Linked DNA regions of Tamandua tetradactyla. The protein of the gene in region 2 interacts with the protein of the main gene of each other region in a biochemical or structural test. Links are inferred from orthologs where the notes say so. Each region holds a gene or a part of one and is shown on either strand. Other genes may lie near its edges. The genes, in order: ARHGAP1 and BNIP2.

Region 1 (3,906 bases), on a different chromosome or scaffold from region 2:
CATATATGGTCTGGGAGTCGGCAGTGCAGATGAGAACAGCCAGAGTGCAGAGGGGGGCGGGGGGGGGGGGAGAACTGCACAGCCGGCAACACCTCTGGGCTCTGCCACAACGTGACAGCCTCCTGCAGGCTCGCTGGAGCCAAGGTCTCTGGATGGCAAGCCTCTCCCTGTGCCTAGCAACAGCCACCCTGTTACCAGGGCAACGACACCCAACTGAGTGGTAAAAGCTTTTTCGAGCTTGCAAGCCAAAGCCAAGAGGCCAGACCGCCAGAGAAAACCCACTTCCTCCTCCTCTCCCCCCGCCTCACCTACTCTCCCTCTCCATGGCCCTTGCTTACCCCCAAATATAAGTCCTTTCCCAGGAACGCTGAGAAATATGCCCTCCTGTATTTGGGAGTGTGTTTCTCTTGGTGAGTACTATAGAGTCCCTCGCCCCTAAAGCCCGGCCCCACCCCACCCCACCCCACCCCACCCTGTCCCTCAGCACCCCCACGCAGGCCATGCTCAGCCTGTTCCCTCTACAGGCACCTCCCATCGAACAGAAGGTCGATGCCTGCTTCCAAAGGCACCCAGCTGGGTGGGCCGCAGGGACAGACTCCAATGCAAAACTACCCCCTCCAGGCCTGACCTGCTCCCATCCCTCCTGTGATCACTACCCGGGCCCCAAGAGCTCCTTCAGCCTTCCCCACCGCCGCCCCTCGGGCCTCTCTGTCCACAGTAGGAAAAGGCACAGGAGCATGGATATGGGGAAGTGGCAAATCATCCTGCTTAAGCCACTGCACCACAGAGATGCCGGCAGGTCCTTCTCTCTGGATCTCAGTTTCCTCATCCATAAAGTGAAGCCTTCTCCCAGAAATACAACGCACCAGCGCCCTAAAATGTCTGTGCTGAGGGGGACGCCAGGGTTAGGAGGAGCAGCTGGGAGATGACGGTGGGGGGGGGAGGGCAAGTACGCTGTCTACAAGGGAGCTGAACTCCAACTCCACCTCTGTTCTAGTAACTCCTCCTCTAGGCTGCCGGTTCATCCAGAACTGACCCCAGCCCCCACCCTAACAACCTCTTTTCCAACATAACTAATCAAGTTGTTTCCACTTCCCAGCCGGACTGGCCTCTCTCACTGCCCTCCAAATAGACGCTGTTGCCTTCTCTGAACCTGGAAGCTTAGTTCTCAAGCAGTGGGAGCATGAGGGAAGCTAGCGCAGGGAATTCTAACATACAGGGTGGAAATGAAGTACACAGCCTGCCTCAGACCCCAGCACTCGGGAGACCCGCCCAGTGAGTGCAGCACACTCCCTACTGGGATAAAATTTTCCCTTCTCTGCAGGTAAATCTTTACAAAAATCTTTGAGAATCACTTCAGACAGAGGTTTTGAAAAGTTCTGGACCTCTGAAAATCTAACGAAATTTGTGGTTTCCCTACGAAAAACACAGGCATGAAACTTTGCATGCAATTTTAAGGGGCTCACATACTCTCCGAGAATTCGTTTAAGAACCCCTGGCCTTATCAGAAGAAAGCCTGGAGGACAGGAGATGCTGAATGACAGAACGGGCTAGTTCACTCACTAAGTGGAGAAGGGACTCAGCATTGCTGAGGGCCTGAAAGACCCCTGCAACTGGACACATTTTACCTCTTTTAACTTACCAAAGGTGCAGTAGGTGATGAACTATTAAGCCCGTTTTACAGTTTGAGTTTAGTGAAGACCCCCACCCCCAGAAAATAATAATAATAATAAGCGTGCGGCTTGGCGTCCTACAGCCAGCAGCCAGGGTTTTAGTCTTTGTCTGGGGGGGTCGTCTCCCGGGGAAGGTCAGTCCCTCAACGAAGCGCTAAGACAGACTCTCAAGGTTCAGACGGAAAGCCCGGGGCACAAAAGGGCAAGCTGAAGCCCCTCCCCGAAGCTTCTCTCCGGCGAACAGGGACGGCGACCCGACCTCTCTAGCTTGGAGGGCGCCTCCTACGAGGAGGGCCGCCGCTCCAGGACAGCAAACCCGAGCCCGCCGCGATACACCCCGGCCTCTCGGGGGCAACCACCCGCCTACAGGGCTTCACGGCTGACAAAACCCGGGTCCGGGGTGACCGCCCCATTTCACAGCTGAGGAAAACGAGAATAGAGCGCGGCGGGGAGAAACTCTTCCCTCAAATGTCTTGCTCTCAGAGCTTCGCCACTGGGGACCAGGGAGACGTCCCCCTCCCAGCGGCGTATCCGAGGACAGCGGTCCGGCCTGGACTCTGCCCTGCGGACGGCCAAAGGAAGGCAGCGAACGGGGCGAAGTCTCACCACGGCTCCCGGATCAGATCCCCGCCGCAGGAAGGCCAGGCCGCCAGTCCTGATCCCACACCTGAGACCCCTCCTCAGAACCGCTCGGGCCCTTCCTGCCAGAACCCCAAGCCTTCGGATGGCCCCTGACCAGCTGCTTTCCTCCCCTTCCCACCTCACCCCCACCAGGGCGACCCCCGCGCCTGAGGCTCACCGCGCTCGGGCACTGCTTCCTCTGCCACGCCTGTCAAAGCTCGACAAACTTCCGGCCTCACGGAGGAACCGGAACCGCGCTCTCGGCTCGCCTCACTCCCCAAACACTTCCGCCACACCTCCAGCCAACTTCCGGCCTGCTGCCAGGTTCAAACATGGCCATCTCAAGAGCCCCGCCTACTTCCTGCACGTGCCTTCCCACGTACCCGCCAGGCAGGCAGGCAGTGGCACAACGGTCCGACTCTTCCTGCCCAACTAAAGGAAGCTGGAAAAATGAGTTCCTCTTCCTCGGGTACGCTAATCCCTGGTGGACCTCCGGAATCCTAGGTTGGTATTGTCCTCGGACAGAGGTTTCCTTCACGGATTCTCCCAAACTCTTGATCCTGTGCACCAATTAGGTCCGATCCTAGGATTCTTGCCTGGGAGGCACTTTGGCGGTAGATGTTTCCGGGAGGAGCTGAGAAGGCGACGCTCACTTCCGGCGGCGGGAGGTTGTCGACCCAGGATGGAGGAGGTGGAGAAGCTGCTCTTGGAGGGGAAGAGGCCGCGACTTGGTGAGCGCCCTGCCTATCAGCGGCCCTCGGGCCTGGCCTGGTCTGGGCCTGGCGTACTCTGGTCAGCTCTCTCCCATCCTCCTGAACCCGGGATCCTCCTCCAGCGTCTCACAGTCACCGGGGAACTCTCAAGAGCCCCTGAGCCCCACGGCCCCCTCAGCAACCCCCTCCCTAGAGCCTCCCAGATCGGCCAGGCCACGGAGGTCTGGCCGGGCCTGCGGCTTCCGTCGCATCTTTCCCTGCCCCACGCCCTTTGGGGCTGCTCCCTCACTGTCGGCTTCCCATCTCCCTGCAGCTCCCGAGCCGCGCCTGGGTCCGGATTCACGATGGAGCCCTCCGGGAGAAGGCTGCGCTCAGGGTCTCTGGGACTTCCCGCTAGGGCCGGTCGGAGTCGTTTTCGCGCTAAAGAACCTCCCCCGGGGCTTGGCCCTTGGCCCATCACTCGCCGTGGAGCAGCGCTTGGGGATCTGGTGTGTCGGGGAGCCCCTGCAGCCGGGACTGCTCTGGGGGCCTCTGGAAGAGGACTCTTTTTCAGAGGACAAGGGATCGAAATCCCGACAAGAAGAGGTATTGAGGAATAGGACTTCTCGCCTAATTGAGAATTTGGGGAGGTTCAGATATTTCCAGATAGCCAGCCCTCCCGTTTGTTGGAGGAGGCAAGAGAGAGAAGGTGGTTTTATTCCTTCTCTCCAGGAACGTTTTCCTCCCCAACTTACAGTGGCGAAGGAATGGTGCAAAATGTTGTTAAAGACTATTAGTATAGCGTTAGCATTGACGAAGGTCTATAGCAAAGGTGTTTGTGACAAAAAGGGATGAGATCAAATCCCACCCTTGTCGCCGTAGCTCGTTAAACAGCATGCCTCATTTAACTCATCTGTAAA
Region 2 (3,906 bases):
GTTGTTTTTTTTGGGGGGGGGGAGAGTGGTATATGGTCCAGGAATCAAACCTGGGTCTCCCACATGGAAGGCGAGCATTCTACCGCTGAAACACTTGAGCAACCAGGATCACACAGGTTTTTAAGGGTACAATGAGATACTCTATTAGGAATGTTATCATACAATTTACAGAAAAACTAGAATGGTCCTGAGTTTTCTCAAACTGTGAAAATAAAGCAAAGCATAAATAGTTCATCCATGAGATGACAAATCCTCTGCCATAGACATTAATACACAAACACAAAAGAAGAGAACAATATGTACATTTACTGAATTATCAGAATGCAGAACATACAGAAGAGGCTGAAATTTTTAAAGTCTAATAACTGATCTCTAACACTTACAGTTTTAAAATATTGGTCGTAATAAAAATTACAATTTTGGAATATTACTATCACAATAATACATTACATTAGCACAGTGCTTTATAAGATGTAAACTTAACAAAACATTTTTTTATTACGACCAACTAAGGTTGATTCACTGTACCTGGCTACATTGTATTTCTCAAAACCTTTTCCGCCCTCACTGCTCATTCTACCAGCATTACCCCAGACAGACTGAACAGAAGAGAACCACTTTCCCAAACACTGCTTTTCACATTTACTAATTATTTTTACATTCATCATCACATGCATTTCAACCAACAATTTCGTGAGGTATAAAACACTGGTGTTATTATCCCCATTTTATCTTATATATGAGGCACTGACACTACAAAGTTTAATCCTCTGGTTTCCAGATCCAGTCCAGAACTGTCTCTAATACAGCACATTGCCTTCAGTTCACTTGCAACTTTACACAGAATAAGTCTAGCTTCAAAGGTCCCGCGAAGTCTATAGACTATAAAAACCCCTGAACTAGAACTTGATCTAGTTCAAGTTCCACGTTTGTAGAAGTAGATTTGCCACTGGATTTCCTAAATCTTATAATATTGGGTTGCAATAGAGGAGATTATGAAGATCAAGGTTATAAAACGACAAAAACAGAGTAGGAGAAAATGTACAAGATCAAGAAACTACTTTGTAAGGTACTACCTACTTTGTTATAATTTAGAGGAAACACCCATTTATGAATTGCTGAAATTTTTATGTTAGAGTAAGAATATGTTTCATTAAAAAATAATTAAGAAATTATGCATTAGGCAAGCAGTGGGGACAACCATGTCAACAGGCCTAGCCTTCAATCTTGGGGTTCATTCCTGTGGGACTTTTTCCTGCAAAAGACAGGCTAGGCCTACTTAAAACTGGGCCTAAGAGTCACCCCAGAGAATCTCTTTCGTTGCTCAGATGTGCCTCTCTCTAAGCAAACTCAGCAGGTGAGCTCACTGCCTCCCTCCCCTTAGGTGGGACATGACTCCCAGGGGTAAAAATCTCCCTGGCAACATGGGACAGAGAGCCCAGATGAACTGGAATCCGGCATCAAGGAATTGAGAGAACCTTCTTGACCAAAAGCGGGAAGAGAGAAATGGGACAAAATAAAGTTTCAGTGGTTGAGAGATTTCAGACAGAGTAGAGAGGCTATCCTGGAGGTTATTCTTACGCATTATACAGATATAATAAAAAAATGATACACAACTATGTGATAGTATAATGAGCCACTGACTGTAAGTCATGTATGGAATGTTTGTATGTTAAGATTTATTAGTTAAATAAAAAGAAATTAAGAGTTAGGAGAAACAGAGATCCTAATTAATTAGTGGTGGGGATGAAAAGCACACACTTAGCACGGATTCAGTTAACCAAATATATGGGGGGGGCATTGTGAATACCTAGATAAACACAGCAAAAGCTGTGCACTCAAATAGTTCCTGGCAGCCAAGGGAGCAGTTTCGATAGCAATGTGACAAAGTAAAAAACAAATTTTTAATTTTATATGACTTGATAGAGTTGATCCCTGGTGGCATCAGATGTACCCCGGAAACCCAATCTGTTTTTCGCCGGGTATTTATGTACAAAGCGTACAGTATATGAATCCAGGCAGGGACTTGGCTTTTCTGTGCACACCCTATGTTTGGCTTGGCTTGTCCCGGAATTACTAATGCCGCTTCCGTGTCCATTCCCCGAGGGTACAAGGCAAAGCACCAGTCCAAGTTTCTTTGTTCTGCATCAGGACAGTCACCAGTCATAGACACGGGACCAACGTGGCCCATTCACGCATGCAGACCAGGGTGTGTGGGTGCGGGGTTCCCGGGAGGGAGAAGGCCCCAACCCGAGCACCACAACCAAAACAAACAGTAAAGGGGTGGGGGGCAAGGGTGGCAAAAGTGAACAGGAGCCGCGCCAAGGGCGTGGACCTAAGTTGGGCGGGACCGGGAAGCGCCTCCGGGCAGGTTCAAAGACGCTCTAAACGACGGATACCCACCCTCCATCCGCGCTTCCTCTCTCCAGGCGCCGGTGGACTGGCGCCACTCAGACCCTCCGCCCCCCAGGCCTGTTTCCAGCCCAGGCCCACCTTACCAGCCCCTACCGGAACGCACTCACCCCGGAGGAAGCCTGGGCCCCCTCGCGCTCTTCGTCTCTCCAGGCCGGCGACGTGCGGCTGACGGCCAGGTCGTACTAGACGCTGCCGGCTCCGCTCGGTGGACGGCGCGGACTAGGGCCCAGGCTCCCGACTGTGGCTACAGCAGTGGCGGCGGAGGCGACGGCTGTAGCCCTGACCCGGACGCAGAAATCGGGCACAACGGAAGTGACGACACTCCGACCTTCTCCTGGCACCCCAGCCCTCAGACGAGGAGGCGGCGGCGGAGTCTTGGCGGTCTGCTAGACTACCCCAGGGTCACCCCAAACTCAAGCCGACCCGACCCACGACCCACGCCAACTCCGAGCCTTCGGGCTGAATCCCGGGGATGCGCAAGGGGCCTCCCTGGTTTTCTCCTGGGCAGAAGGTAGAGTTAAAGCCTCATTGGCGCTGTCTTTAGCGCTAGACGCGCTTCCCAGCCCATTCTTATTTGCTGGCAGGCGTCCCTCAACTCCCAAAGAGCCATTTTTATTTTCCTTTGGCTTATCATTACTATAATTACAGAAATTATGTACAATCATACCTCCTTTTATTGCGCTTTGCAGATACAGCGTTTTTGTTTTTTACTAATTGAGGGTTTGTGGGAACCCTGCCTCTAGCAAGTCCTATCTGCATCATTTTTCCAACAGTTGGTGCTCATTTTGTCACATTTTTTGAACATTGATTGTGTGGAAAAATACATATGACAAAATCACTTAAACCATTTTAAGTGTACAGTTTTCTGGCATTAAGTATTTCTTAAAATTTTTTCTTGTAAAATAAATAAAGTGAAGAAAAGAAAGCAATTTTCAAAGCATACTTCAACAAATAGTTGCAGAATAGATCCCAGAGTTTGTCATGGGCTACCACTCCACCATCTCAGATTTTTCCTTCTAGCTGCTTCAAAACACTGGAGGCTAGAAGAAGAATATAATGACTTAGCAGTCATACTCGTTTGTTAAATCTTATTTTCTCTGTTATAACTACTCCTCCTTTAACCTTCTCCTGAACTATAGGGCTCTTTGGGCAATGCCTGTTCTGCATTTTTCATTTTGAGAAAGGCTGGCTACACACTAAAGGATAGGGGGATGTAATTAATTGATAATCTTGGAGAGGCTGGTCCCCCTGAGTTTCAGGATTTTCTTGACCTAGGAACCCCTCAGGAATTATATGTTCCAGGAACACAAACCTAGAGCATCAAAACTTCATAGAGTCTCAGAGCCCTAGGTGTTTTTTTTGTTATTGTTGTTGTTTTTTACAGTTTTCCTTTTTTTAAAAAAGTTTTTATTGATAAATCTTAGCAATAAACCATTCCATACATGGTTTACAATCAGTGGCTCACAGTATCATCATATAGTTGTGCATTCA

What was found.
Region 1: the proteins of BNIP2 (region 2) and ARHGAP1 form a complex in vitro, tested with the Homo sapiens proteins (2 studies listed by BioGRID). The link is inferred for Tamandua tetradactyla from reciprocal best matches to the Homo sapiens genes BNIP2 and ARHGAP1.

Annotation. Positions count from the first base shown.
Region 1 is NC_135334.1:123,409,885-123,413,790, forward strand, and holds the start of ARHGAP1 (rho GTPase-activating protein 1), read right to left. Parts: upstream 2,605-3,906; 5' UTR 2,473-2,604; intron 2,467-2,472; exon of another isoform or gene 2,280-2,466; intron 1-2,279. Other genes in the region: ZNF408 (zinc finger protein 408), read left to right, coding at 2,627-2,798, 2,870-3,025, 3,321-3,592. UniProt on the Homo sapiens protein: GTPase activator for the Rho, Rac and Cdc42 proteins, converting them to the putatively inactive GDP-bound state. Cdc42 seems to be the preferred substrate.
Region 2 is NC_135340.1:75,549,668-75,553,573, forward strand, and holds the start of BNIP2 (BCL2/adenovirus E1B 19 kDa protein-interacting protein 2), read right to left. Parts: upstream 2,715-3,906; 5' UTR 2,523-2,714; intron 1-2,522.